Linked DNA regions of Neodiprion lecontei. The protein of the gene in region 3 binds, or shares a complex with, the protein of the main gene of each other region. Links are inferred from orthologs where the notes say so. Each region holds a gene or a part of one and is shown on either strand. Other genes may lie near its edges.

Evidence for each region.
Region 1: actin-related protein 3 (region 3) and actin-related protein 2/3 complex subunit 4 share a complex: the UniProt entries of both Caenorhabditis elegans proteins name them as parts of the arp2/3 complex. The link is inferred for Neodiprion lecontei from reciprocal best matches to the Caenorhabditis elegans genes arx-1 and arx-6.
Region 2: actin-related protein 3 (region 3) and actin-related protein 2/3 complex subunit 3 share a complex: the UniProt entries of both Caenorhabditis elegans proteins name them as parts of the arp2/3 complex. The link is inferred for Neodiprion lecontei from reciprocal best matches to the Caenorhabditis elegans genes arx-1 and arx-5.
Region 4: actin-related protein 3 (region 3) and actin-related protein 2/3 complex subunit 2 share a complex: the UniProt entries of both Caenorhabditis elegans proteins name them as parts of the arp2/3 complex. The link is inferred for Neodiprion lecontei from reciprocal best matches to the Caenorhabditis elegans genes arx-1 and arx-4.

Annotation. Positions count from the first base shown.
Region 1 is NC_060264.1:35,277,172-35,284,469, reverse strand, and holds actin-related protein 2/3 complex subunit 4, read left to right. Parts: upstream 1-2,985; 5' UTR 2,986-3,260; coding exon 3,261-3,263; intron 3,264-3,729; coding exon 3,730-4,056; intron 4,057-4,138; coding exon 4,139-4,309; intron 4,310-4,399; coding exon 4,400-4,405; 3' UTR 4,406-4,755; downstream 4,756-7,298. Other genes in the region: CTTNBP2 N-terminal-like protein, read right to left, coding at 1-382, 507-731, 832-933, 1,895-2,089; nuclear factor 1 C-type, read left to right, coding at 6,620-6,700. UniProt on the Caenorhabditis elegans protein: Functions as actin-binding component of the Arp2/3 complex which is involved in regulation of actin polymerization and together with an activating nucleation-promoting factor (NPF) mediates the formation of branched actin networks.
Region 2 is NC_060261.1:15,629,852-15,637,687, reverse strand, and holds actin-related protein 2/3 complex subunit 3, read left to right. Parts: upstream 1-3,173; 5' UTR 3,174-3,327; coding exon 3,328-3,333; intron 3,334-3,707; coding exon 3,708-3,884; intron 3,885-3,974; coding exon 3,975-4,170; intron 4,171-4,291; coding exon 4,292-4,446; 3' UTR 4,447-5,188; downstream 5,189-7,836. Other genes in the region: translation initiation factor eIF-2B subunit epsilon, read right to left, coding at 1-883, 1,312-2,007; small nuclear ribonucleoprotein Sm D3, read left to right, coding at 6,828-7,143, 7,392-7,504. UniProt on the Caenorhabditis elegans protein: Functions as a component of the Arp2/3 complex which is involved in regulation of actin polymerization and together with an activating nucleation-promoting factor (NPF) mediates the formation of branched actin networks.
Region 3 is NC_060261.1:1,974,223-1,982,577, forward strand, and holds actin-related protein 3, read left to right. Parts: upstream 1-3,756; 5' UTR 3,757-3,952; coding exon 3,953-3,996; intron 3,997-4,285; coding exon 4,286-4,466; intron 4,467-4,660; coding exon 4,661-4,975; intron 4,976-5,312; coding exon 5,313-5,630; intron 5,631-5,710; coding exon 5,711-5,929; intron 5,930-6,009; coding exon 6,010-6,189; 3' UTR 6,190-6,269; downstream 6,270-8,355. Other genes in the region: glycosyltransferase 25 family member, read left to right, coding at 357-560, 1,829-1,997; transcription factor 25, read right to left, coding at 7,318-7,501, 7,580-7,773, 7,843-8,157, 8,219-8,355. UniProt on the Caenorhabditis elegans protein: Functions as ATP-binding component of the Arp2/3 complex which is involved in regulation of actin polymerization and together with an activating nucleation-promoting factor (NPF) mediates the formation of branched actin networks.
Region 4 is NC_060262.1:1,738,487-1,746,342, reverse strand, and holds actin-related protein 2/3 complex subunit 2, read left to right. Parts: upstream 1-1,517; 5' UTR 1,518-1,663; coding exon 1,664-1,737; intron 1,738-2,345; coding exon 2,346-2,439; intron 2,440-2,549; coding exon 2,550-2,649; intron 2,650-2,918; coding exon 2,919-3,105; intron 3,106-3,197; coding exon 3,198-3,418; intron 3,419-3,495; coding exon 3,496-3,697; intron 3,698-3,816; coding exon 3,817-3,844; 3' UTR 3,845-3,945; downstream 3,946-7,856. Other genes in the region: mitochondrial-processing peptidase subunit beta, read right to left, coding at 1-107, 231-449, 844-912; transmembrane inner ear expressed protein, read left to right, coding at 5,728-6,082, 6,151-6,326. UniProt on the Caenorhabditis elegans protein: Functions as actin-binding component of the Arp2/3 complex which is involved in regulation of actin polymerization and together with an activating nucleation-promoting factor (NPF) mediates the formation of branched actin networks.

The DNA.
Region 1 (7,298 bases), on a different chromosome or scaffold from region 3:
GCTTTTCAAGCTCGGCCTCCATCTGCAAAGACTTTTTGCTTTCCTCTTCCAGCCCCTCGGCCATGGAATCTATCCGCACCTTTTCCTCGCTCAAAATCTGGGCCAGATCCTCGGACCTCTTGCGTTCCTCTATGTACTTCATTATTATCTTCTTTCTCTCTGCTAACAGAAGCAAGACGATTTGCTTTTGCCGATTCTTCTCCTCTTCCAGTGTATCGTTGGCTTTTTTAAGCTCAAGCTCGATTCGTTTTTTCTCCTGTTTCTCAAGCTCGAGCTCCTTTTTAAGTCGTGTTCTCTCCTTTTCAAGACCGTACGTTATGTCGTCACCTTGAGCCGTGTCGTGCTCGTGTTTTCGCTTCTCTTCTTCCAACTCCTTGATCACCTGAAAAATCCAATGAAATTGTCTTGTTTGAATCTCAGTACTGGCTTACTTTGGTGGTTCTTGTCTTCCTTTTTTTTTTTTTAACACGTTAAATTTTGATAAATTCAATCAAATTTACACTTGCCGCTCTATGCCTTATCTCTGCATCCTTGAGAACTTTTGCCATACGACACTGCGTCCGTCTTTGCTGCATTACCAATGCTTCCAGACTTGCGACTTGCTGATCAACTTGCTTCTTATCCGCGACTATCACACCACCCAAAACGGCGTCATCCCTTGCCAAAGCAGCCTGAGCATCGTTTGTGCCGCAAAGGTAACGCGAGTTCAACAGATGCTTCATTTTCTCTGACTGAAATTGAAAATTTTTCACGTTTCCTCATTCTTTTAGATTCTTCAGAGCTAAGTAATCTATCATCACTATATTGATGTTTAGGATATTATAGAGTTACTTTTAAAGCTGCTATGACGATGTCTCGTGCTTGCAATTCTCCTTCCAAGTATCCGAGAAGTTTTAACAGATCTTTTTTCTTCAGTTTCATCTTAGGGTTACGCTGTAAATACATATATATGTGATTTTTTAGTTAACTTTAGCTGCATTTTCTGCGAGTTTTATAGATTGAAAATAATAGAGTACGAACAAAGATTTGAAAATTTACGGACAAATAAATGGAATATGTAGTTTTTTTTTTTGAATTTCTGATAATGATGATGATAATAATAATAACAATACTGATCAAGTAATTTACATATTTGAAACAAAAATTGTGAAACCTTCGTTTGGTTTTTTTCCCTCAGATTCTGTATTTATTTGAATAATAAGTATGAGACGAACAAAAAAATACCTCTTATCTAATCTTCACACTCGTATAAAAATCAGATAAAGTATGAAAGATTGAGTAAACTGCGCATGAAATATATTCAAATGTTTTAGATAAATACGAATTGCAAAGTAGAAACAATCACAACTGATCATCAATTTGGATAACAATTTCTAAGAAATTCGACGTGTACAAGATATTAAAATTTTCGCCAAATATCTATTATTAATAAGGAATTTAATTATTCAGTTAGTTAATAATTACATTTAATCTGACATGGATGATTCGTGTTACGGAATGTTTTTTATCACCAGATATATGGTGTGATAAAGAACTATTGGGAACAGACAATTGATTGGGAAAATGAAAAATTTCGTTTATAAAAACAGACAAGACCCAAGTCTTAGATTAAAAAGAAAGAAGCTGAAGAACACAATGGTTGTTATAAATTTTACAACGAAGAACAAACTGCACTGCATTATCTAACTGGGATTACCAATCTGGTAAGCGAACCAAGAAGAATTCCTAAAAAAGATTAACCAGAGAATTCCTGAAGCTGCACAATCTCGGTCATTGTACTTCCTGCGCAAAACCCCCACAGTTATGTCATATCCAAGATGAAAATACAAAATTACAGATTAACTCAGCCAACGATAAGTTTCTTCTGCTTGTAATAAATTAACAGAGGGTATACCTTAAGGGTGTTCGATGAACTCTTGTCAATTGGTTCAAAATTATTTGTCTGCTGCTGAGGCTGTTGTTGCTGTTGCTGTTGCTGCATGGTTTCCTGGGTGGGTTGAGACGATTTTGGAGCGGATATATCGGGTGATGCGGATTGTCCGTTAGCGGGCGGATTTACGTTGACAGAATTTTGACTTTGCGATGCCATCTTGGGTTTTCGTTGTCAAATAAACGCGTGGTGCGGTGATATGAGGTTAACGCGATGTTTTTATTTTAACTCTTTTTTAACGTCTGACTGTGATAGATCAGCAGAATGCCTCTGACGGCAGTTGTTTCGGCAGTTTAAAAAGCGGCGAAAAACGGCTGCGTGCCGTTCCTTTCTACACCAGTTAAAGACAAAAGACAATCTCGCGTTATTTGCCGGCTACGGCGGGCGGGATGCGTGTCAAATGCTAGTCGGTAGTTGGTTTTAATTTAGAAGAAATCGAGCAGACGTCCTCTAATCCGAGGGCAACGCAGCCCCGAGCCAACGGGCAAATACTCCGAGCATATCATCCCGGCTCCGCGCGATAAACTCGGGGTCACGTTTTAACACCCGTCCGATACTCTCTTACTCGACGACCGGGCCGTTTTCGAGGTACAAATCAATCTCCTCCGATCCCGGGACCACGGAGTTGGTGAGTACAATATAATAACCGAGGGGAGAATCAAGAATCTCTACCTTCGGTGACAAATCAACCGACAACCACAAAGCAAACGATATTTGCGATTATCGAGCTGCCACCGTGAATCTTCATGGAATCAACCTATCGCTTCCGGCGGTGGAAAACGACTCATCGATTCCCCGTATCAGCACTTGATGTGAAACAACGTATTTCAAGTCCTTTCAACCGTTGAATTTTTATATGCATAGAACGCCTACCTACTTATGTAGGACGGGTTTGCTGGCGAAGGACACGGGGAAAATTGCAGTTTTCTGTCGTTATTGACTCGTGTGCATCGGAATTTTACACGATCGTCGGTAATGCAGAAACGTCAAGTTATCTCCGGGCCCACCGAATTTGGGACGCACCCATTTTTTATATTCAACCCAAGTTTGGCGGAGCAGTCGGATTGTTTAGTACTACAGCCGCCAATAGATGGTGATGCAAAGGCGTGTCTCAAATCTGTCACAGCCAATGGTCAAGAACGTCAAGAACCTATCCTCTCAACCCAACCCTTCAAGTTTGGGAATGTGTCATTTGCTTTGGGTTGAGTGAATTATTAGTAGCGGGATTGTAGGACCTGAAAGTGAGAAGTTGACTACAGAAAGCTTGACCGAAAATTGAAAACAGACCAGAAATAAACGGGCTCAGATAAGGATAATATACAGATAAACAATGGTAAGTAGTTCATGTTTGTCTTGCCTCAAAGTTTAGGTTATGGTTACTTTTGCTTTCCACCTCTTTCCCTTATCTTCTACACCGGATGTGATCTCGGCTTGATAACAAATAAGCTGGAACGAACGCTTTCACATTTATATTAAAATAACGACAATACAGTACTCCTGTTTATTTCTGGAATCCCTAGACCAAAATTGTTTAGACCTACACCTACTTCGTATGAAAATCCATTCAATATCGGAATGTTGAATAATGTTTTTTGTGAATGATATTTAATAAAACCAACACAGAGATTGATCATTTGAATTTGATATCTAACTTATCCTTATACCGATATAAAATTTTTGATACCAATAGTTCCGGGTTCTCGATTAGACTTCCTGTTTTTCCTCTCCAAACATTTATTAGTTTAGCTGCAGAGTGATATACATGTTCAAATATCTTTATTAATGATGCATTTTTACAGTCGGCAACATTGAAGCCTTATCTAACAGCAGTGCGACGTACACTGACAGCAGCGATGTGTTTGGAAAACTTTTCCTCCCAGGATGTAGAGCGTCACAATAAGCCAGAGGTGGAGGTGATGTCGAGTAAAGAGCTTCTCCTGACCCCAGTGATGATAAGCAGAAACGACAAAGAAAGGGTGCTGATTGAATCCAGCATCAATAGTGTCAGAGTTAGCATATCTGTCAAACAGGCTGATGAGATTGAAAAGATATTATGCCACAAATTTATGAGGTTTATGATGATGCGTGCTGAGAATTTTGTTATACTTAGGAGGAAACCAATAGATGTAAGTTGCTTACTTTGACCAAGACCTCCTTTCCAATACTCCAGCAACTGGACCACAATTGTTGTCACATTCTCACTTCCAGGGGTACGATATCAGTTTTCTAATCACAAACTTCCACACTGAACAAATGTTCAAGCACAAGCTCGTTGACTTTGTTATTCATTTCATGGAAGAAATAGACAAGGAAATCAGCGAAATGAAACTATCTGTGAACGCGAGAGCTCGAATCTGTGCAGAGGAATTTTTAAAAAGGGTTAGTATTCAGCATTCATTGTCAGTTGTGTTTATTCTTTGGAATAATACTCTTAAATAAAGTAAACTTTCATTTATTATCCGTTTTTAGTTTTAGCCTGTTCACAAAGCTACAAGATCATAGCCGAAGGAAAATCGGGATGTCACTATAGGACTTGTAAGCTATATTGAATCGCTCAAATGTTGATAAAAAAAAAACCCTGTGACCCCTGGTTAATCGGTAATTTGTATTTAAAAGCCGTTCCACCAATGAGTCATCCATGTGATGACGTGATGTCAATCGAATTTTTTTTACCTGCTGCCATTCCGGCCTTACGTCACTTATCAGTGCGTATTCTTTTAGAAAAAAAATATATAATACTGTAACAATCGATGAATAATAATTATAATAGTGCTAGTAATAATAATAATAATAATAATAATAATAATAATAACAGTAATGATTAACTACGATCTGTCGAGTGTCTTTCAATTCCTTCTTACCTGTTTGGGTGAAAATGACTATGTGCGTATAAAGTACAGTTTTTTGACGAATAGCTCGTGGACAATGTGTGAATTCGTTTGAAAATAATTTTATTCGAAAAAGACCATTCGTAAAATGGCAGGTAGGAATGTTTTACGGGAGTGCTAATTTTTTTTAAGAAAAGAATATGGAAAATTATGAGTGAATTTCTAATACAGTAAGACGTGTAACAGTAATTTCCGTTTGAAAATAGCGCGCGGTGGCTTTTATCGACTGCAGTTGAGTTTTTTTCGATGAGTACAGAATCTTTTATATCCGTGGCGACCTATTTTTTTTGATAATCCCTTTAAATTATTTATGATGTTGGTGAATTGCCGAAAAAAGACGAAATTTACGGAATGTTCGTGAACTTTTTTTACCTCGAACGGCTATTCTACCAAATTATCGGACGTCGCTCTGTTTACCAATCGAATTACAAATACAATAAGCATTCGAGATTTCGATCGTCACGAAAAAAAAAGTATTAACATGAATTCAAAAGGATTACAATACCTCAACTCTCGGTTAGATACTAAGAAAGAAAAAAATTTCAGTCGATTTTCAGCGGGAAAAAAAAGAAGAATTATCCTCGGTGGGTAAATAAAAGAGAGGAGGCGCGAGTGAAAGACAGAAAAAAAAACGATAGAGAGGCGCGATTCGCGCGCATCTAACCCCGTTTGCTCGGTAATAACGGGGAGTCCCCCCCCCCTTCTGGGCTGAAAGACAAGCAGAGCAATGCGCGAGAGGGCGGAAGGGAGAGAGAGAGGAGAGTGAAGCTCGGCGTTGCGGCGCGGCGCGAGTCGCGACTCTTCGGGTGTTCAGAGCTTGCGCTTTTCAAACGTCGTGCCCCTCGACCCCCTGCAAACGCACGCCGACGCAAGCGGTAAGCGGCAAGGCTTGACTATATTCTCATCTCGTAGCTGGTGGTGTTCCACTAGTTTGGGACTGCGTCTTCCGCACGGTAACGAGGGTGTACGACGCCTCGTAAGCATCGGCTGCGGGTCGGTCTGATAGTTGAGTTTATTTATTTGTTTATTTATTATTTATACACTCATTTTGAACATCTCTTATACATTCTCCCCGAGTGTGGTGTGTGTTTGGGTAGGATGCTTGTGCGTGGGTGCGGTGTTGCACCACCCAACAATTACCAGCACCACCACCGTAACAACGAAGATAATAATAATAACAACAACAACAATAATAGTAGTAACGATAATAAGTACGAGAGCGGCAGCGTGACCAGTGCGACGCCGAATATCAAAAACGAGAACAAAAGGAGCAGGAGCAAGAAGAATCCCAGACTGACCGACGACAGTGCAGGGAAGATAGAGCAGAATATTATCGAGAGGTTTTACCTTTCTAAGTCGATCTGCAGGGATTGCCTGCACGAGATATTTTCCTCAAACCGCCGAAGAGCAGATCAGCGAAGAGCCAGCAAATTATTTGTACTTATTACGAAACGACGGTTAATTGTGGTGTTGGTGGTGTTTGTTCTCGTTGATATCCCCGGAGAGGTTGACGCTCTATCTTCGAGTTCTGTGCGGCGGGAAATAATAATATTAGTAGTAGGATATTTTTTCACTATTTTCTTCCTTAGTACATTTTAATACGGTTTTTTAACCAACCGCCAATATTTACGAGTGCCTAGATAACCGTTGTGGCGGTAATAACAGAAACATCTTCAGTGATAATAACTCATTACCGCCAACAATTTTACCAAATAATCAACATCATTGTAATTATCGTCAAAACTATTACCCCGAAACGCAACATCAACAATCCGGATTGACATCGTCTACACATCTCCTCATGTTCATCCCGGATACTCTAAGGAGCTGTATGGTGGAACCGGATGTGTCGACATATCTTCAGGCTCCTTCCGTAGGACAGGTGCTTATAGATATCAATAATAGATTTGTCTCTAACGAAATATAACTGCATCCGTTTCTTTAAACTGTTTCGACATGCTTATAAACGTGCTAACATTGTTGACCATACCGCAAACACACTGCCTCTTGTTATTTTTTGTTTATAATAATTATTTGCACAGCCCAAAAGTAGTCATTCTCATTCGTTGGCTAGATATCAATCATGTTTTGTCAACTTAGTATACATATAATTTAGAAAATGACTGAATGAAGGCGAACGTGTACTAGAAGTATATGCATAATACGGTAGTGGTGTACTAAGGGTTGACTCTTTGCTTAAAATTGAATCAAAAATTAACTGTGAATCAGAGTTGTGGCTGAGACGTCTTCCGAATGCAAAAATCCGGCCCAAATCGGGCGCACTTGGATGATATTTTGAAGCTAAACTCGGTGCACTAAAACTTGAATGAGACAATGATTCGAATCGATAAGTACACCAATTACGACACACTGATTCCTACACATTATTTGAAATCAGCTCATAATCAGTGGCTCATCGAAGGACGCACCAACGCTTCGGAAATATTTTGAAATTTTCCGTAGTGGATGATACAGTATCT
Region 2 (7,836 bases), about 14 Mb from region 3:
TTGGTAAACTTAATACAGCTTTAACTACGTTGTAGGAAACTTCGCGAATAGTAACATTGTAAGCATATCTTGATGAATTAATTTCTAGTATCAAATTCTCGCATTTGACTTTGTCCTGATATCCTCGCATCAAACTCTCCATCACTTCTGTAAAAAACATGTGCGTATCATCAGTGAGTGGCATCTCAGCAATCGATTCTTCATCGCTGCTACTGTAGTCTTCAAGATCATCAGAATCATCGTCGGACTCGTTTGTACATGTGTATTTGAAATAGGGTAATTCTTGATCAGTGTCAGGATGAGCTTTGCTCATGGAGATGTAAGTGATACAATCATTTGAATCAATTTGCATGAGGGAATCCGTGTGAACACTTTCCAATTTCAGCTTAAATTTCGGGCCCAAAATACAGCCGTCTATCTCAACTGAATTACCCAACTCACAGCCGGAGAATAAAACTGAATTTTTAACGATACAATCATCCCCAATTCTCACTTTACCCAGCAAGTAAGAATTTTCAAGTCTCACATTATTCCCCAAGTTACAGCCTTCTCCAATCACAGAACCTGTGATGCGTGTGTTTTCTCCCACATTACTGTTTGGACATACCACACAATCCCGTTCCAATGTACAGCCCTTCCCAAGAATCGAACTGTTGTGTTTATACGTACATCTACGTAGGTACAGAAAATACATACAACTTGGCATCATCTCAATGGTTAGGGGATATCCACGTTTTTGAAGTATGTCTCTGATTAAAGTATTGTAATCCCTCCAAGATGTGACTGGCAGCGCGTATTCTTCTGGATCTAATTTTTGCCAGTAAATTCGAGAGTCTAGAATTTCCTCGTTGATTAAGACTCCTCGGATAAAGTCTTCCATGGTCTGAAAATGATGTTGAAGACATTCAGTTGATAGTAAATTCATTCCAATGTTTAGAAGGGTGTTTAAAAATTTCAAAACAATTTAATAAACCACGATTAGGTGTTAATGACAATCATAGAATAGGATGTAAAAATATCATTGAGTAACATTTTGACGTTAGTATCATTGTAACGATGTATGTCGAGAAAAATCGTTACATTATATTTTCAACACTTGATTCCTGCAAAGTTATTCTGGAATTGCAACTTATTTACTTTTTCCTCAATGTTTCGTAACGTTGACATCGCTAACTTCAGCCTTGTTCAAAAACACAATCCAAACTGACAAGTCTATTGTATTTCTAAACCCATTCTATAATATCGTATTAGAAGCTTGCGTATCACATCAAACTTTTTCAGCAGAGTTATGTGATTCTGAAAAGAACTTACCTGAAAATCGAAATTGTCAGAAAACAAGGGAAGCACCGACGCTGAGCAAAGGTAAATATGAGTTTCCAGTAAACCGCTGTGTATTCGGACACAATCGTGATCCAAGAACAACTGTAATTCCAATTTGACTTTTCTGTCTTTCTCTGAGAGTTTTTGATGAAACAAAACTTTGTTATTCGAGTTATCAGCGGCAATTAGACAAGTTTTGTTTTCTTTCACCGGAAAATTGTTAGATCCTAAATCACGGAATATCAGCGTCATCGCAGCGCCTTTGTCTTGTTTTGACTTAAATCGATGCCAGTCGAGAAGCCTCTTTAGATTGGCATTGGTGAAAGCGTCGCCTCTGATCAGGATGAAGTCGCCGCGAATGATACCTTTGCTGTCGATGTCTCGGAGAGCATCGCCAAGCGAACGGCAGCCATCAGAGACGATTAAATGTACATTGATAAGACCCTTGTAATTTTGACTTTGTACGTACGATCTCAAAGATTCAACGTGGTTACTGCAGTACAAAAATAACTCCTGTATATCGTTCCTCACTAAAGTTTCTGTCAGGTATTCCAAAAGTGGAATATGAAAAACCGGCATCAACGCACTTGGGTAGAGCGTCTGCATGGGATGTAAATTTGTGGAGAAGTCATCTGCTAGAACAACAGCCTGTCGGACCTCTTCTTTCTTCAACTCCGTCGCTGCCATTTTATTAGATATTGTACAACCGGTGATTAACCCACAACTATCTTGTTAACGATTGTTAACCCTCGATCACCCTCAGTCCATCCACAACTGTCAGCATGGAATGCGTTTATACTTCTTCTAGTTCTTCTTTCTTTTGGCTATTTCCAAGTCCTAAAGATGGCGCCGATTATTCCAGGGACGTAAGATATCGTATTTGAACAAAGGTTATCGTATTATTGGATTATATTAAAACGTACCATTAATGATGCGTAGAATATTTTAAATGTCATTATCGTAACCGTATATCCCACGCAATACTCAATTTATATGCGATTTTATGATCTTCTCTCATGTCGGCCACCCGTATGGCGCGAAAACCTGCACAATTGGATTTTTTTAAAAATCAAAGTAGATCTAGTTTCCAATAAACTGTTGTTTATTATCATGAATATTAAAATTGCAACAAATATATGCTTATCGTAGATTATCTATCGTCCTCTGTGTCTTTTGATACGTCAATGTTTGAGTATATTTTCTTACGCATTTGCAATTTTAGTACACCACTTCATTAGCGTTGCCATAAGCACGGTCTTACATACAGGTCTTGAAACTCATCAAAAGTTGCGTGGTGGGGGAAATACGCTTACGGTGCATTTTTTGTTTTTCGACGCTGCCGCCAGTTCGCACCACTGATATATATATACACGCGTGGTGCCGTCACGCCAATTGAACGGTATCCATTTTGTACAGATTCTTGTCACTTCAGATATATATATATATATATATGTATACGTGATATAGGTATATCTTCAGTCAACGAACTCTGATTCGAATTTGATTCAAATGTAAAATAAATAATTGACGTGCTCCAACACATGTGGAAAACAATATTATTTGTAAACTTAGCATTGAAATCACGTAAACTACAATGCCGTATTCGTTTTTTACGAGATGCGTTGATAATTGTAGAACGTCAATTATTTTCTGGTCATTGCAATCAAATTTGAATTGGAGTTTCAGCTTTTTCCAAAGATTCGACTCGCGGCCACCAGCGGAGTGCTGCGGGCAGCTAAGCATATTTCTTTCAACGAACACCCTAATGCACATGTGTGATAGTCACGTGACTTTCAGCAAGATTGGTAGAGGCATTCTGCGCATGTGTGACTTTTACGGTTTTATACGTATTGCGACAGTATAACTCCACTACTGACATACATGATATAGCGATATCTGGCCAGACCCCACCAGATTATAGTTTGCCTGTAATAATTTCTCCACCCTTGCGGCGTTTAATTTCATGTTTAAGAAGATAATCAATCTACGAAAAAGTATCTGTCAAACATGCCTGTGAGTCTATCCTTTTCAATTTACTCAAATTAGTAATACAAGACTTATTTCTGTCTTGAAATTGTCGATTTGGTTTTCCGCATTCAGGAGCTGTCAAATGGGTGTATCCCTTTGATATCATGAATCATAACACGGGGTCACAATTTAACAGTGTCGTTGACCTTGATCCAATCGACCTACTAACGAGATGTTGATAGTCAAAGATCACTTCAGATTTACTCTTGAAGTAAATCACGGACTATAATTTTACCTAACCTAATTTAACTGTCAACATGCTATTACCGTGTCAATAAATTCTGACGTGTTTTGCTTTTCTACTATTGATAGACTTTCTCACTTTCACATTATCATACCAATTTTGCATAAAATTTCAGGCATATCATTCAAGTTTTTTAGAAAATAACCAAACGGTTGGCAACATGGCATTGCTACCGTTCAAAACCCAGTTTCGAGGACCAGCACCGTCATTCAGTAACAAAGAATTAGATATAATAGACGAAGCTTTGTATTTCTTTAAAGCAAATGTTTTCTTTCGAACCTACGAAATTAAGGTAATTTTTTAATTTGTATAGTTACATTAAGTAATGTATGTACTGTACACTTATATTACTACCACTTCTTCGCCCTTAAATATTCTACAGAGCGAAGCTGACCGAGTCTTAATTTACATCACTTTGTACATCACTGAATGCTTGAAGAAATTACAGAAATGTGCAAACAAAAATCAGGCAACCAATGAGATGTACACCTTGGCTATTTCCAAATTTGATATTCCAGGAGAAGCCGGTTTCCCATTAAACTCTGTTTATGCTAAGCCAAATACTGCGTCTGATGCTGGTAAGACCATTGAATAACAAAATCAAACACATTTTCCTAATTTTTTCACAAATTGCTACCATTACTTCAAGTGTAACACAAATATGAATTATATTCTAAATGTTGTAATGGTTTTTTTCAGATTTAATGAGGCAATATTTACAACAGTTGCGCCAGGAAACTGGCATTAGAGTCGTAGAAAAGGTTTATGGAGAAGATGGAAAGCCCAGCAAATGGTGGCTGTGTTTCGCCAAGAAGAAGTTTATGGACAAGTCATTATCCGGACCTGGCCAATAAATTGTAAATTATCTTCTCTTACAATTCAATCCAATCGCTGTAAGATAGGTTCATTTTATGGCTCTTGTCTTTTTCTGAAGAGTGAGCTACATGTTAATTATTAATTGTTTTTCACACTTCTATTAACATCAATCAACAATTTTTAGAATTTTCCTGCAATGTTGAGTTCAATATGTTTAATTTATTAAGAAAAAAAAATATCCGGCTGATAGTTGTAATCAATTTTAAACTACTAAATGTTCCCTGTTACGAATTAGATAGGATTTCATTGGAAAAATATTGTGTGTAGGTAATTACAAATCCTGCAAACACAATATGTTTAATTAAATAAGGAAAGAAAAAAATATCCGGCTGATAGTTGTGGTCAATTTTAAATTGCTAAATGTTCCCTGTTAAAAATTAGATAGGATTTCGTTGGAAAAATATTGTATGTAGGTAATCACAAATCGGGCAAAACACACTTCAATTGTATTGTTTAATTTATTACAGATAAAAAAAATATCTAGCCGAGAATTCTAGTGGATTTTAAAGTGTAAATGTCCCTTGTTGTAAATTAGATAGGATTTTGTTGGAAAAATGTTATAGGTATGTAGATAATTACAAATCAGGCAAACAAATGGTACGCACGCATGTGATGAACCAACGGCAAAGGTAAAACAATTTGTGAAACGTATAAATATACCTACGCATATTCATCCCACGTAATATAATTTTCAATAAAAACTTTATTTTATATTGCGGATATAAAAATCGGATTTAAAAAATTCAGCCATAGCTTCATTTCCCGAAATTTCTCCGAAATTATTTTCGGCTAACATGCATTTCACGATTAGAGCATAAGTGTACGCAATACATCATCTTCAGTTAACGTGCGACGTGCTCCAAGAATTAATTTAAATCACTAACGCCTAAGGGCTCAGTCTCACAAGCCGCGACGCGGCATGCATTCGTTCTTGGCGCAGCGGAATTCGCGCTTCCAAAAACCTGCAATCTTATTGGTTGCTGGATCTGTGTTGCCGCACCGTGCTCTGTGAGACTGAGCCTTAAGCGAGGTCTTTGTATACAGGGTATACAAGTCTGAAATTGGTATTTAAATACCTAAATATCTACGCGGTAGAAGAAGCCCTGATTTTAAAGCTAGTTTATAGCCGCTGAAATCGCTGACATCGACTGATGTCAACGGGGATGTATGTAAAAAGGCTGTGTTCGTAAATTGACTGACAGTACTGAAAATTCCCTAGGACAGAGTCAGAGCTATCCACGAACTTGGTAGCGCAAAAGAGATAAAAGATTGCTGACAGTACTGTCAGTCAATTTTCGAACACGGCCAAAATAGATGTGTGTCCAAACCGCTCTTGGTGCTGTTTTCGCCACAAAATGGCTGAGCTTGGCCAATCGGATGCTGATGAACTTGCTCAAGACTTGGCACAAGATGGTGGCAAAGTTGATTGCAATTGATTGGACTAACAACTTTTGGGAACTTTGGTGACACGGAGGGTTAGACAGAGATGGACAAGAACGAATTCTTTGCCAGAGATCAAGCTATCATAGGGTTTTCGAAAAAATGCAGCTACGTACACATAAAACCTACTCATATATATTCATGCCTAATCCTATATGCTCTAAAGTCCGAAAGTGTTGACCTTGTGCGACTGCAGCGCTATCTACCAGCGAAAGAAACGAGGTCCGTTTGATCAACGAAACATTTCATTTCTTTGTAATCCTCCATATACAACGGTTCCGATGCCACTTGAGTGGGATTACTCTTACACCCGTATTCATATTCCTTCCTTGAGGAACAAGGATTCCTTCACGGAGTAGTAGGAAGGAGACAACACTCTGCGATAAAACTTGTCCCCAGTTTTAAGGTACCGTAAGTGGAATTGTCTAAATGCGATTTGAGCGCCTCTTACGGAAAAAAGTGAAATTTCCGCTATAAAATGTAAAAAAAAAGGGCGGCAATCATAACCTATAAGCCTCCGTTTTATAAACACACTCCGTAAATTAGTAAAATACGCATCTGAAGTGTATCCACGTAGAGAAATTAAAAAACGGGGACAAAACGCGTACAATTTTTTAGTATACGAGCAGTGGTGAGTGTCAGGGGGCTGAATACGGGTATTGGAGCATGTATAGTATATTATATGCTCTAAAGTAAGCCGTGATGCCGACCCATGATGCCGACGATAAGCCAAGTGGCCAAAATTCGAACTAAGTAACTCTCCGGCCATTTTCGTAAACGAAACGAAAGTGGCTGGCGTCCGTCGACAAACGTTGATGCAACGACACAGACTTCACACGGGTATAAATCCGTTTCAATCGCCAGTTTTTTCGTGAGCTAGTGAGATTTTAGTGTCGATTATCGGAACATAAGTGTCAAAATGTCGATCGGGGTGCCAATTAAAGTACTTCACGAAGCCGAAGGTCACACTATAACCTGTGAAACTAACACCGGCGAGGTTTACCGCGGAAAGTTAATAGAAGCCGAAGACAACATGAACTGTCAAATGCAAAACCTGACCGTCACTTATCGCGATGGACGCGTAGGCCAGCTAGAGAACGTTTACATTAGGGGCTCAAAAATAAGGTTCCTTATATTACCGGATATGTTGAAAAATGCCCCGATGTTCAAAAGACCCGGTGGCAAAGGCGCCGGCACTGCGGGCAGAGGAAAGTCTGCAATACTACGGGCACAGGGTTTGTTTTTTCACACCAATACAAATAGATCTAGAATCTTTCAGTTTTTCATCAAAATCGAAGTCCGTAAACATGTTTTGGCCTACTGAACATTTTATTTCAGCAATGTGGAATGCAATCCGATTCGAATTCATATTTCTGTTTGACTGGCAATGTTTCAGAGACTCATTTTTCTAACAAGTTTTGCACTTTTATGCATCAATATTCTTTTTCCAACGCAAATTATCACCGAATATATCTATTTTTAGCACGGGGCAGGGGACGAGGTCAAAACCAGAGAGGCAGAGGCACGGGTTCGGCCCCTTGGTTGAATCAGCAAAACCAACCAGGAGGTTCACAACCTGGAAGAGGAAGAGGATAAATGTTATAAGGATCATTTTTGTTTATCATTATATCTAGTGCACTAAAGTTTATTTAGTTCATACTTTTATAAGGGATGTAAAAAATAATTCCATGTAAACGTAAATTGAAACCGTACATGCCTGTGACAATATGTGTAGGCAGTGATCACTAATGATAATAACAATGTAAATTAATAAGTATTCAAAAATTTAATGTCATTGTGTTTACTCCCTTAGGACTTTGAACAAGAAAACAGACCTGGTGGAGAATACAACTGTCTTGCTGTATTGTGGTTTTCATTCATATTCCATTGTAACATCCCGTCTAATTGTAAGTCTCAACCAGAGGTAC
Region 3 (8,355 bases):
CCGCCAAATTGTCAGCCGCTAATTTGACGACGACAAAAATAAGAAGGCAATCCGATCCCGTCGACATTCCCTTTTCTCCCGCGACTTATCATTTTCTCTGCTCATTAAAATTGACACGAGCTTAAGAAAGCTGATTTTGCTTCATTCGGTGAATGGCGAAAATACAGAAAACAGACTAGCGGCGCATGTCATGTTTGCGCGGGTCTTGTCACCAATATTAATACAGCAATTGTAAGAGCGAATGGTCGTAGTATTTCGATATTGTCTGGATGTGTATCATCCCTTCAAATCGGGAACTTCCCTACGCTCTACGTGATCCTTAGGAGTATCGCAACATAGCTCGCATTCCTGTGCAGATATCTAGGCAGAAAACGGCTTCAGGATCAAGAGGAGCCTCCGGTCGAAGGGTCCAGGTACCTCGTCCTCGCTGGGTACAGCTATTGGACCCTAGGATATCTGCTGTCGAGGAGAGGAGCCGAGAAACTGCTGGAGGCCAAGCCCCTTGAGAATATGGTTCCCGTTGACGAGTACCTGCCTATCCTCTTCGACAAACATCCCAGGTGAAGATTTAGGGGGGGGGGGGGGGGGTAGAGCTTGGACGGTCTAAAGTCATACCTATTTTTAGGTTTTTTTTTTTCTCAGAAAATGAAAACATTCAGAGCAATTTGAGTTTGCGGTCTTTATTGTTTACAGTTTCAAGAATATTTTAGAAATTTTTCATTGAAATCAATAACGAAGTGGCGGCATGGCGAATATAAGTAGAGAACGACGACGTTTTCAATACGAAGGCGCAGATTCCTCGGTCAAGTCTTATCCGATCGACTTGAGATTTTGACACAATTTTTAAAACTTGTTTATGAGTTCGAACTCGTGGCTAGATTTTTAAATTTTAATTCCGACATTTTTTGTTCATAATCGTATATACTTGAAGTAATTTTTTTTTCAATATTTGGGCTACGAGTTCGAAACCGAAGAGGTGTTTTTAACTCGGAAAATTTTTTCCATCTCCTATAAGTTGGACAGTGATGTCAAGAGATGCGCCACCACAAAAGTCCTCGAGATTGAAGTCGTTCGCTACTTATGTGCACCACGCCGCCATTTTTGTGTTAATTTAAATGTAAAATTTTCTAAAATATTTTTCAAACTATAAATAATAAAGCCTTCAAATTCAAATTGCTCTATGTGTTTTCATTTTCTTTAACAAAGAACTCCTAAAACTATGTATGATTTTATATCGTCAAAGCTACACCTCCTCCTCTCCCCCTCCTTAAAATATTTTGACTTTCTCATAGTCTACGGAAATTGCATTCATGTTTTCTTAACGACGTCGAGCCGTATTTACTTCTTCTACAACTTTCGCATACTTATTTTATAAATTTCCAGCTGAAACTTGATATTTCATTCGTGTATTCATGCATAACAAGTACACCGGTAGCTACTTGCAAAAGCAGAAGCTACGCTGGCTCCGAAATTGGAAGACGGGGGGATTTTCAGAGCGCACGAAAAACAAACGAAAACTAACACAATAACAACCGTGACGTAATCTTACTTTCCCTGTATATCTTTCGATTACCATACGAAAGGCACAGTGATTATTGGCGTTTGCGCAAAACATACCTGTTCGATTTCCCCGATCCACACCTCTATGCATACACTCATTCTTTTTCACATCGATCAGTGGAAATTGAATTTTTGTTCACGTTTCCGGCTAACAAAAATGTACTGAGCGTTTAATCGTCCAATTATTTCTCCCCCGTTTCTTGTGGTTTCAATCACACGTTTAAACGTGATTAACGAGTTTGTTTGTTGGATCGACACTTTGACACAGGACTGCGTGGAAGGGTCATTTTCCTGAGAGAGATTTGATCGCCCTCTCGGCTGCCCCGCTTCTCCTCTATCCGACGCATTACACTGGAGAAAGAGGTTACATAAGCGACACGGAGGACTCTACGGTGATCACCTCGTTACCGGGAACCAAGACTCGGGAAGAGCTGTAATCCAGAATGAGGCCAATTCTTATGATGTGGGGGTGCGGCTTACATTCCCGTTTCGCCGTTGCATCGCGCAAACTGCCAATATCTGCGTTGACTTACGACCATAAGACTCGCGACTTCTAGCCTTCTGTGATTGTCATTTCAGCTCGATTACCATGATTATGCTTTTTAATCTTGCGAGGTAAACGCTAATTGGTTAATTCATACCATCGATTATTATCGCTCTGTATGAGAAAATCTTCGTCTGAAAATAAACTCAATTCCACGTTTCGTTAAAATTATTACCGTTTTATATTCGGGCGATATTCTTTTCATTCGTGATACATTTCAATCTCAAACTCGTGCTATGCGCAGATATTGGGAATACTTTCGTAGATTACTATTATTGTCTACCCCTTATCATGCACGTATAAATAATTAGCCTATATTTTTTATACTCCACTTACCACGTCAATTATTTGTGATTTTACCTATTGGTATCCTCTGTAGACGTATTATAAATTGCATGTTGCCATATCATAATGTAACCTATATCAAACTGATTGATCAAAATACTTCTGTAGGTTATGAACACTTGTTACCAATTTTTAAGCGGTCGAATTGTTTATGCTGATGTAAAAAAAAATTGAAGCAGAATGAAAAATCAAGTCGTTCTATTTTATCGCCTTGATGATATTCTCTGATATTCCAGCATCCTCTTATCGTATCCTACCGCACGAAACCAGGCAACAACGACATTATACGCAACACTCGATGCGTGCGAAATTCAATTTTCGCACCACAGAAAAAAACTCATAATCTCTTTGAAATTCGAAGTTTCACTGCTGGTAAAATTTTCACGAAATCTGATATGAAATGCGTAAATTCTATGGAATCTGTTATAATTGAATGAATTGAATAACTAATTGTAACGTTTTCTGCCTAGCAGAGCACGGAGGGATATTTCCTTCGAAATTATAAGATACGGGGAGAAGATTAAAACATCGACGAGACTTCATCTCATCGTTAGAAGCGGTTAATTTCTAACCCTAGAACGCATGTACGGGGTCGTAAACGACCCCGGCCGACTTTCAAACTGCACTCCTGAGTTAAAAATTGATATCATCGGCTGGGGACCGTGACCATAATTCATTGTCACTAACTGTTAGTGAAGTTAAGCTTGCTTGGCATCAATTGCTTGCTGACAATTGCGCAGAACAATTTTAAAAAAACTGGTGGGGTCGCTAACGACCCCCCTATAAAGCTGCCGTTGGCGTTTCGTGGCAGTAAGTGAATGTTCCGTTTTTTCTATTCAAATCAAAATATTTGTCTTGTTATTACGTAATTTAAACGGCAACAGTCATATGTTGTCTAAATTTGTCTTCGGCTCACCTATGGCTCATATTGAAAACTTACGCTCGGCCCGAAAAGTCTGAGTTTTCATCCTTGTTACGTAATATACTATTTTGCCGGTTTTTAGTACTATTTGGTAGTTGATTGAATTTTTCACCATTTAAACTTCAATAAGATTAAATTTGCTCTTCATAATTCGTTTCTTGATTAAAAAAAATGAACAGATTTATGCATTTTCGAATCCCATTATTACTTATAAAATGATTTCACGAACAAGAAACGCGTGGGGTCGTGTATGTTAGGGTTTTAATCTTCAAAGATTAAAAAATCCGTCGTAGTCCGCCTAATCGTATGTAACCTGTGCACAACTTAGGGTCTTCTTCGTCAAGTTTGTGAACGAGTCACAAGATGGCGCCTGGAATTGAGCGATGCCAGAGCTAGTATTTCACTGGATTTGCCGCTTGATGAATTCTGGGCAGGCTCGAGGAGAGCTTGACAAGTATACAAGTCCCCCTCCCACTGTCGTTATCGCGTATTAGGTGTGGTTTTTTTGATTTAAAAAGTACCGAATATTATCAGTGAAACGATTCCCAATATTCAGCGAGGGTAAATAGTAGGTACACAGAATGGCCGGACGCCTTCCTGCGTGCGTTATCGACGTCGGTACTGGGTAAGTATTCTCGTATATATAAAAGTTAACGAGCCCGATCACTTTGACATTCCCCAGTCAGTCAGCCTGTGACTAACCACAATGTTCCTACCGACCATGCACGCCCTGATTTTTATCAACTCGCGACCCACAAGCGGTCGATACTTTTGTTGAATTGTGATTTGTAAACGATCTTCCAAGATTCTCACATTCCATCATTTACTCGTTGCAATTACCATCTCTGCTGACGTATCCATCAAAGGTGTGAGTCAACGCTATCCAACCTTAATCTAACCCCCTTGTTTTCTAGGTATACTAAACTGGGATTCGCCGCTAACAAAGAACCTCAATTTATAATACCGTCCGCTATAGCGATAAAGGAAACAGCCAAGGTAGGCGACAACTCTGCGAGGCGAGTCACCAAGGGTGTCGAAGACTTGGATTTTTTCATTGGCGATGAAGCCTTTGACGCTACCGGATATGCAGTCAAGGTAAGCGTTGGTTCTCAGTTCTTATAAGTCAAATCACCTCTTCCATTTGTCGCACTAGGTGATTATGTGGAAATTTAAATAGCTACAATTTTTACACACATATTTATAAGCTTGTCTTTTCTTTTACGTATTCCACTTCGAACAGTCTTCTAATTTTCGAAACTGCATCATGATTTTTATGAAAAAATTCCAAGTACCCCGTCAGGCATGGCTTGGTTGAAGACTGGGACCTGATGGAGAGATTCCTCGAGCAATGCATCTTTAAATATCTTAGAGCTGAGCCTGAAGACCACTACTTCCTCCTCACCGAGCCACCCCTTAACACACCAGAGAATAGGGAATACACCGCTGAGATTATGTTTGAATCGTTCAATGTACCTGGACTATACATAGCCGTACAAGCTGTTCTTGCCCTTGCCGCATCCTGGACATCAAGGAATGTCGAGGACAGGATACTAACAGGGATTGTTGTGGACAGTGGTGATGGGGTTACACATGTTATTCCTGTGGTAGGTGTTTGCAAGTTTTACACATCGATCATATAACAAAATTCATTCAACTTTAGAGAGAGGTAGATTGTTAAAGACCCATCTTTGGAATGACGATTATAATCCAAGTAACTTTACGGACCCCGATGAAAACAATTATTTTTTATGCTTACACACAGGAGTCAACTGTTTTGTTATCAGCTTTTGTAGAGTTACTTGGATTATAATCGTCACGCTAGTTTGGTCTCGTAAAAACAGCCTCTTTAAGGTTGAGTGAATTTTATCAGGGGTCATCATAATGTGTTACTTCTGTTTTGAAGTTTGTTTAGCCTTTAAGGTCTTAATTTTTTTTTCTTAGGCCGAAGGATACGTGATTGGTAGCTGCATCAAGCACATTCCGATAGCAGGTCGCAACATTACCTACTTCATCCAAAGCCTTTTGAGGGAGCGTGAGATTGGCATACCGCCAGAACAGTCGCTGGAAACAGCAAAAGCGATAAAGGAAAAATTTTGCTACATTTGTCCTGACATTGCCAAAGAATTTGCTAAGTATGACAGTGATCCCACTAAGTGGCTTAAACGATTCGAAGGAATTAACAGCGTCACGAAACAGGCTTTTGGTGTCGATGTTGGATATGAAAGATTTCTAGGTCCTGAAATATTCTTTCATCCTGAGGTGAGGAAACTCCTTTCTCTGTTGATGAACCGGTATTATCACATATAATTGTAAACTGAACTAGAGAATTACCGTTTTAGTTCTCCAATCCAGACTTCACGACACCTTTGAGCGAAATAGTGGATAATGTGATTCAGAACTGTCCCATTGATGTGAGGAGGCCATTGTATCATAATATCGTACTCTCCGGAGGTTCAACGATGTTCAGAGATTTTGGTAGACGTTTGCAACGTGACATAAAGAGAACTGTCGATGCCAGACTAAAGCTCAGTGAAGCTCTTAGCGGGGGTCATCTCAAGGTAAAAAGCGCCGAACCATTGTGAATTTTCTGCCATGAAAACGCAGGTTTCAGCTGTTTCCTAATTTCAATGTTTTTCAGCCAAAGCCAATTGACGTCCAAGTGATATCGCATCACATGCAGCGTTGTGCCGTCTGGTTTGGAGGATCCATGTTAGCAAGTACTCCTGAATTCTATCAGGTTTGTCATACAAAAGCTGCTTACCAAGAGTACGGTCCTGGAATATGCCGTCATAATCCAGTATTTGGTGCTATGACATAATTGAACCGTAATTAGCGGATCAATGTGATAATAACTGTCGATTGAAATACGCACGAACCATAAAGCAATTCATTGATTTCCTTTTTTTTTTTACATAAATATATTAATTTTAACGAATCGAGTGATAAATCGGGAATCTAATCTGCGATCAGATTGTTTGCTTTCCTCGTTTCAAATAACTTATAAATATGAAAATGTTGAAGCGTTGATTTCTCGAGTCTAACAGGTGAGTGACTCACGTTGCAGGCATTTAATTAATCAATATTATACATACATATTGTATGTATCATTGAAAATTCCATAGGAAGGTGAATATTGTGTACAACACAAATAAGGAAACACATTGCAGAACAATTGTATAGAGATTTCACGTACGAAAAGTACGTTAAAGAAAAACAAAAACACAAAAATATCACAAAATAAAAAAATCTTTTCTAATTACATTTATTCAACATATATATTCATATTCTTTTGCTTTCCATGTAACAAAAAACTGTATCATTTCTCGTCGACAGCTTTTACACTTCGAGTTGAATGTACCCCACTTCAAAACCCACCATATCACCTTTCTGTTTTAGCTCATTAACTGAAACGAGGCAATTACAATTCAGATGAATAATTGTTCTCTTTAAATTCAAGATATCAAATATTTATACACAACACGGCGTTAGACCCGTTATTTTACATATATTCATGATATTTATTTATGAAATCAGGCGGTAAAAGCTTAACTTAAATACGTTTTGTTTACCATGTATAATTGTATACATCCTTCAATCACAGGCTAACGGCGAAATCCCATTATCACAAGACTTCACATACATATTCCCAAACTTAAATTGCTTTCTGTGTTCTCCGTATGTTTATATACGAGATCAGTCAACAGTCTCCTAACAATCAATTCACTAACGTACTCTTTTTCTCTATCTAGCAACCAGACTATCGCGCTGAATAAGTTTAACAAAATACCAGAATTGTCGGTTGAATTAAGACCTTTCTGCATTATATATGAAAAAGAGAAACGTGGTCCACGCTTAAAGCATGCGCGCTAAATATTAAAAATGGACGTATATCAACAGATGGATTTCGATGGCCATATTGTAACAACATTTCATGCTGTCACAGAAGCTAGTCCCCTTCCTGATCATTATCCGTGTCCTCCTCGGCATCGGCGTCGTTAACACCGTCTGGTGCCCTGTGTAGTAATAAATTGCCGACTTCGTGTAGCAAATTAGTTACAGCCCTCCTAAGATCAGCTCTGACCGCATCTCGGGCTACCTCGACGTTTCCCGCGTTGTCGATTGCGTTTTCGCTGTTAGAATGCAGTTGACATTAGACAATTCAGTGGTAAACTATGAAGATCAGAAGTAAGGTGCAAGGGTTTACTCACAACAAGTTATAGCCGTTTGCAGCCGCGGCGACAACGTCTTCCTCAATGTCCGTAAAAAGGGAGGTAAAGAAGAGCGAAAATAGGTTGGAGTTGTTGGAGTTGCTTCTGGGATTAACTTGGAGTCGCGTGTACAAGTCGATTGAATCTGCTGGTGGTAGGGGGTCGTGTGATAAGACTGGTCCTTGATTTTGTATCTGAAATTAACGAGGCAGTGTTGTGTCTTTTCAGATGAACGAAGCAGGCGAATTTCGATAGTACGTTACGTTTAGCGTTTCAGGACAGACCTCCTGTATATCGACGGTTATTTCTTTGATGTCTGAGAGAATGATATGTCTCAAGATATTTTTCGGTAATTTCCCTTGATACCGCTTTGTGCGTTTTTCTGTGCAGAAGTTGAAAAAATCATGGCCGGCGTCAAACCGGTCTAAAACCTGATTCACATTGCGTTCAAGCCAAGGTAGAATGTCAGCCTCTTTCCACAGATGATAGCTGCGCGCCACATAGAGAGCTACAACTTTCTCCAATGCAGGAGGACTCGTGGACTTGGCGTGACTGTTGAAGAAATCGTGACCCATTACCTGAAAGAATTCAGCGCTTATTGACTTCTACTAGATATTAACAGGAGTGAAAAAAACTTACCCTCGAATCTGTCTGCACTCCACATTTGTCCAACAATGGTACAAGCAAACTTGGAAACATGGTCAAAGCATTTTGAAGAACCTCATCAGCCAGGCCACCAGTTCCAAGATGAAAATTGGCCAATGCTGAACTGTACG
Region 4 (7,856 bases), on a different chromosome or scaffold from region 3:
CATTTTGCATAGAACACAGTCTGTTCCCTGCTCGTGTAGGCATTCAAGTGAGCTCCCATGTTCTCAATTTCCAGTTCCAGGTCTGTCTGGGAGCGTTTGGCAGTTCCCTGAAACAGATGTTAAATATTTAAAAAAATAAATTGCGCACGGAGCTTGCACAGATGCAAAAAATGCTGATCTTCAGGTTTATGCTCCTTCCGATACGGACGTTCTATCCATTAAAACCCTACCTTGAAAGCCATGTGTTCCATGAAGTGAGCAACTCCGTTGTTCTTGTCGTCTTCATACCGACTTCCGGCGTCGATCCACAGCCCAACGGTTGCCGTAGCAGCGCCGCTGTCTTCGCTGGCAACTCGCATGCCATTTTCAAAGGTCGTGGTCTTCGTGGCAGGCTGATTGATCAATGTCTGCTGAAGCGATGCTGCAGTGGACCTCCATTGCTTGGAGATCTGAAAAGGGGATGAGCTATAGGTTTTGCAGAAAAAGGAAGACTGCCAATTTTGAATTCTAAAATAAACACTGGGTATGGCAAGAACGTTAATTTCTCATCTCTTTTCCACCCATTATTGATCGTGGCATCGGCGGTACGGTGTATTATTGGATTCAGGATCGGAAGCTAGAATAACTTGAGCGATACTCGTGCGAATTGACGCCGTAAATATGAATAAATTGTGAGCTACATTACGTAAGGGGATACTACTTTGAAGCAGAAACAAAATTTGACTGTCGAGAACGGTTTTGCTCGCCGAGTAATCCCGTAAAAGATTTCCGAAAAATGTTGTGCTCGGCATAAGGCGAGACATCGACGAATCGTTGCGAGGAGTGACAGGTAGATGATTTTACCTTGACGTGACTGGTTTTATTCGAATAAGTTCGCAGCGCGGAACTAATCCTTAGCAGACGAGTCGCCATTTTCAGGTCTGGTGGTGTCTACCATGAAACACGAACTAAGAACGAGGATCTAGATGATACAAACCACTTTGCCGAGGTATCGCGATCTTCTAAGTGTTCAACTGTCGGAACGTCATCTTGTGGATTTTGCACAAACTGACTGTGAGTAGTAGCGAAAGCTAATAAAAAGAAATCGGTGCAAGGTGATTATATTCGTTCGATCTAGGCGCTAAATAAATTCTGTCATGTTTCACAGAGTAAAACGCCTGTCAAATGTAAATTAAAAAATTTCTGAAAATTCTTGCGCTATATTCGTTCTCTTCTGATTAGATTCCATTGCCAGGCCTCTGGCGTGTGAAATATATGTATATATTGTAATTTCATCTATGACTTGATCTAATTCAGTCAACGCTCCCATGTTTGAGATTGTTGGTAAATTTTGTATTTAAATTTCAAAACACCCGCCTTGAGGTCGGCCATCTTTGACTTTTGGAGCGCTGCCTGGGGGATGTCGAGATGAGGAATTGATTGTTGTTTACTTCTTTTCCCGCAGGAGGGTTCGAGGGGCCGGCCTAGCTCCAATGTTAACGCGGATTTCCTGCCGCTGGAGCGGTTGAGGATCCGAACCCCACTACACCCAGTCGAAGTGGAAAGATTAGAAATTAGTCAGAGCCGTCGTATTCGGTATTCATGGTTACAACAGCACTATATAATTGTTAATTATTGTATTATAGCATATTATATTCTAATAATAAAAATATTAGTCGTAATAATGATCTTACTTGAGATCAACAATAGGATAATAGAGGAAACGTTAAATAACAAAATAAAGAATGCCTTGGCTGGGTAAGTCTGTTTCGATGTTAAAAATTATACGAATAACTTTTTTTCCAACCGTTTATTCGTTTCATTCACCTAATTCCCTTTTTTTATTATTATTATTATTTTTTTTTATTTCTTATCCATATCAAACTAACTTTGAGGTTGGGGCGGTGTCTCGCTTTCGATATACCGCGGCTCTTTATATATCCTTATCTGATTAATTGCGAGAAACCGTTTTAACTCACTTCCCGGGGAAACTTGCGATTAGGAATCGCAAATGACAGAGAGTCAGGCCCGACCCTAGACTAACCTCACCCTGTCTAAACTTACTGGCTTTGACAGAATCTGTCAAGTGATCAAAACTTTTCTTTCCCATCTCGCCTACTTTACGCACCGATCTGCAAACTCTTATCTCTCGTTGACCACATCCTCCCACATTTTCACTCTGATGTGCAGATATCAAGAAGCTCCAAAAATAGAACAATTTTTCACACCTTTCAAATTGGAGCGTTCATTATGTTGAGACTTTAAATGCTACCGCATGACCGTTTGAATCACAAGGGGATCATGTTAATACGCGAAGCGCTGCATTTCGTTACTGCGATACATATTTGCTCATTTTCTTGTTACAGGCATAAACCGGAATCGATAGATGTCAAAATAGCTGACTTTGACGGAGTTTTGTTCCACATTTCCAATGTTGGAGGCGACAAAACCAAAATTAGAGTACGTATTCTGTCAGTCAATGACGAATACTTAAATCGTATCGTTGCCAAACTAGTCCACATGAAAATATTTCTGCACTCTCATTTTATCCGTATCTTTATTCCACACAGATTAGTATCTCGCTCAAGTTTTACATGCAGTTGCAAGAACATGGTGCTGACGAATTGCTCAAACGCGAGTATGGCCCTTTACTTACTACCGAAGAGGATGGTGAGTTGCAATTTTTCCAGAGTAATGATTTGTTTAAAATCCGTGGTGCTGATTGTTACTCTTGTTCCTTTATTTTGATTTAGCAAAAAATCTTCTGGCATATTGCCTTTGATTAAAAAAAAAAAAAAAAAAAAAAAATGAAAAGACTAATATTGTGGACTAATTTCTATCTCTTTGGATGTTTTCCTGTACATCAAGGCTCACTCGTTATTCTACGCTTTGCAGTGCCCTGTGAATGAATATAACAAATTATTTATCTTCTTTCCAAGGATACAATGTGTCGTTGCTGATAGATTTAGAGAACTTGCCCGAGGATTGGGAAGCGTTGGTCAAAAATGTTGGCCTGCTGAAAAGGCACTGTTTTGCAAGTGTATTTGAAAAATATTTTGACTTCCAAGAAGCAGGCGAGGAAGGCCATAAAAGAGCAGTAATACAATATCGAGATCAGGAAACACTGTGAGTATCGTAACAAAATGTAACACCATTTTTGCTTTAGTTGAAATCAAGTTCGTTGAGTCAGGAGAAATTCATTTTCCTCCTATTTCCAGGTACGTAGAGGCCAAAAGTGACAGAGTAACCGTGGTATTTAGTACAGTGTTCAAAGATGAAGATGACATAGTTATCGGCAAAGTGTTTCTACAAGAACTCAAGGAAGGGAGACGGGCGAGTCACACCGCGCCACAAGTCCTCTTCAGTCATCGGGAGCCACCGTTGGAGCTTCAAGATTCTGACGCGGCGGTCGGCGATAATGTGGGTTACATTACTTTTGGTAAGTACTTTTCGAAATGCTTTTCCAAGTGCTCGTTACTTATCATTCGACAACTTATTATATGCCTTTTACGGCAGTGCTGTTCCCGCGACACACGAATCGGGAGGCCCGTGACAACACCATCGACCTGATTCACATGTTCAGAGATTACCTGCATTACCACATCAAATGCAGCAAGGCGTACATACACTCAAGAATGCGTGCCAAGACCTCAGATTTCCTCAAAGTACTAAACCGCGCGAGACCCGAGCCTAAAAACATCGAAAAGAAAACCATAACGTGAGTATAAATTACAGTACTTGACAAAAAATCGCTAGCAATTGTTTACCTAGAATTCTGATCCGTAATTGCGACCCTCTTTGCTAATTTTTTTTTCACTTATTTTTGTCTTCTTGCAGAGGTCGAACGTTCATTAGGAAGGAATGAGCCTACGAGTCAATCGATAATGTTAATACTAATTAAAACAGAGATGAACGAGGGACGTTCAATTACCTTGTGTCGTCATCTAAGGTCCACGAATACAAAAACAAAAAGATGATTCGTCCTTGAAGCGACGGTCCCGTTTAATAAAATTAGTAAGCCAAGAGCTTCCCATCCCACAGGCCCGAGTTTATGCTATAGTATTTGGCTATACAGGCTAGACAGGCGATAGTTTGAGTGTACAACAATTCGTAGTAGATTCTTGTAATTTTTGTTTGTGTAATCCGTTAATATTTACAATTTCGTCTTTAACTATTAATTAATTATTGCCATCGTACCTTCTACTGCATTTAACATGCCTAACTTCGAGTAATTTTTTGTGTATAAGTACTTTTCAATGCATTTCTTTTTCAATAATTTAACTAAAGATATTTACAATAACCTTTACTAAACTTTTAGTTTCTCAGTTTGAGCCAACTTATTCTGATGTATGAACATATTTAATTTAAAACTAATTTTACAACAGCACCCTAGTTCGAACTAGCAACGTTAATGATAAGTGTTCAGTCTTAACGTAGTTGAAATAGTGCATTTCAAAATCAGAATTTGAACGAGGAAATTTTAAATACCTTGACTCATATTCAAAATGAAATTGAGCAAAAAAAAATAGGAAGTCCAATACGTGACGTTTGGGACATTTGAGTTGGAATATTTGAGTTACAAAATTCTGCAATAATATTCATCATCACGATGATCTTTCCAATTGCAGAAAGCAAAACTTGTTCCTGACTATTGTAAAGAAGGTATTTTTTTTTTTTGCATATCGAAACCTTTTCTCATACGTCAGCACTACTCGCTAGTCATTTAGACAAAGTAGCATCCAAGTTGTTGCGATCAAAGTGACGATGTGTGGGAACTGTTTGAAAATTCGCTATTTTCAGTGGTTTCATTTTGATCAAACTACATGACTATCCTGTATCGCACAAACACTCTGACGTCTCTAGCTCCTGTTTAGGAAAACTCTGTAATGAAAATACGGACTAGTGACGCCAGGTAATATTGGAACTGGAAAAAATGTTGTGGTTTACCCTGATCCTATCTACTGTAATTATAAAATTATGAAATTGAAAACAGAAACTAGTACATAATCTAAAAACAGAAAGCTTCAGACCGAAAAGAAACGATAACAGATAATCAAGAAATTTAACAAATAAAAAAATGAAGTGGATACCGTTAAACGACGTAGTTTTTTGCGTCGTACCCGCGTAACATAGTACATTGTTTTTGTAACAAATGATTATTTTTATTTCCAATCTTTACCTATTATTATTATATAATAATTATTATTATAAGGTAATAAAAAAAATATTACAAATAACGAAATGCAGTGCAAAACAAACAAATAATATTTAGCCCCTTTTTAAGTTTGCTAATACTTTCCAATGACGACATAAACTTAATAATGGCAATAATAACTCTCTCCTCGGAGTCACGGAGATATTGATCTTTGATCAAAGAATAGGTTGAATCATGCGAAGCAGTAAATTAGGGAGTGCCAGTTGGAAATATTCATTAGTAACCATGCCACACCCTCCATGCCACTCAACTTGATCACAAACCCATTCTACATTTTCAGTGAGATAGGATTTTTCGTCCGGAATACACTGAACTAAATGCCTCTGTGCAACAACTGTGCCAACTAATAGAACACTTTTCAACGAATTTTATTTTTGTAAAAGAAAATAAAGTCCTCTGCCAGGGGTTTTTCCGTGCAGATAGTTATTCACTTACCAATTTAAGCAGCCAAGATTTTGTCAAGATATATCGACACAATGTAACGAAGACCCAGTGTATTATGTGAACAGATAGAAAATTCACCCGAATTTTCAATGGACAAAGAAACAAATTTGACAATGCCAAGCTCCGCTTCCTCGACGTTGACCGTGCCACCCTGTTCTCCGAACGAAGTGCCGATAAGGCATGGAGACTGTGGCGACGGTGGCGTGAACGAATGGCTCGAAGACGAAACCGTGGCTGGTTTTCGGGTATGGCAATTAGCTGGAATGGTTCTCTCCGTTTTGTTAACTATCATAATAGCACTGTGCTGCTGCATAAGATTTAGAGTTCCTCGGACGAAGCAGGAGATCGAGGCTGACTATATTAGGAACAAAATAACAAGGCGGTTCAGGAAGGAATTAACAAATATAAATAACGAAGAGATGGACGAAATGGACTTGAAACGAGGTAACAAAACAGTCAAATCACTTGGTCATACATTGCCTTATTAATAAAATAACGTTTTCTTAACTCAGCTCTGGACAGAGTACGAGCAAGATTTGATGCCGAGACTGAGCTGCAGAGACAACAGAAAGAAGTGACGTACAATGAGCCGACGCGTGGATTCAGAGCAAGAGTAAATGCTATTTTGCACGGAGTGCATTTGCGACTTGCCCGAAACGAGCCAAGGGAATTGAGCAATGTGATTTAAAAAATTTGCTCCCAAGAAGATTCTACATCGACGAAAAATTGCTGTACAGATTATTGCAAAACAGTATAAATAATAAGAGTAGTGTAAATTTTCTACAATTACAACTTTTGATCTTGGAAGAAATGGGTACAAATTTAAAAGCCAGAACGGATTGTCAGAGTAAATATAATCTTTATTTTAAAGACAGAATACACAAATTATTTTCTGTTAATTTAATTCACATGCAATAATAATAATAATAATAATAATTAACCACTAATAATAATGATAGCATTCCTCTAATTATTAATTCTCACTGTTTTTTTTTTTTATTCTTATTTTAAAATTCAGAGCTGTCGATTTTTCGAATCGAAAACCTAGTTGGTTGATAGCTTGTTTTGAGATTACAATTAAGAATATAATGACTAGTCGCCGACCGTTGCGTTACCAGTATTTTAAGTTTCAACATAGAGTTTTCATCGGTCGCTACTACTATGACATATTGACTATTTTTTACTGGAAGTAGCATCAGTGTTATTAGTTATTTTGTGTTTTCAGTGATTTCAGAGACAAAGAGAGCAGAATATAACGCCAACGTAGGCATTTCGTTTGACGAATCTCTCCTACTGTCAAATGTGAATAGGTGTCGTTAAAAGGTGATAAAAAAAATATTATCATAATAATTGAGAGAAATGTAAGGTAATAATTATTGTAGTTAAATGAAAAAATAGAATAAACGTAGAAAACAAAAAAAAAATACATGTCAAACCGCCAGTCTAAGTCTATTATCGGGTAGAATATGTTTTACATGGATTACCGTCTGCTTTGGTACGCTAACAGAAGACAAGCTTAAATTTATCCTAACGACCACACAATACGGTACAATACAATCATCGTTTTACTTCCAATTCACGAATGACATACTCATATGATTAATGCTCAGACATCGCATGCTCTCTTACATCCACTGGAATGACTAACGAGTAGAAAAACTGGGCCGTTATCTACAATTCATGAAATGATATCTTCTATATTTCATCTTAATTTGACAAGTACAGTTTACAATGAAACTTACTCGAGTTAAAACTAACATGACAAGGGACTGCAGATCAAGACTCTATAAATTAAGTAAGCAATATGAAATCTAAAAACAAAAAATTAAATGCCCTTTTCAAATATCGTAGATAGTCATCGCGTATACTAAAACTACGATTAAGGACTAGATTCCTATTTACCTGTCAAATCCCTTGCCATTTTCATCCATATCAGGTTTTTTTTTTTTTTTTACTACTAAACAAGCATTCTTGAGTCGACTAGTCGTAAAAGCTCTGAAAGTTTTTGTAACAACGTTGATATAAGAAATTGTGTCTATAGAGAAAAGGTGAAAAAAAATAAATAAATAAAAGTTACCAAATCTTGCACCCGGAATTTGTTCATAAGGGCATAAAATTGTGGCATAGCTGACTGAAGGAGCAAATAATTAGGTATGACAATTTCAATAATAGGAAGCATCGTTCCAAAAGCACTCGCTCGTTTTTAGGGACACGATTG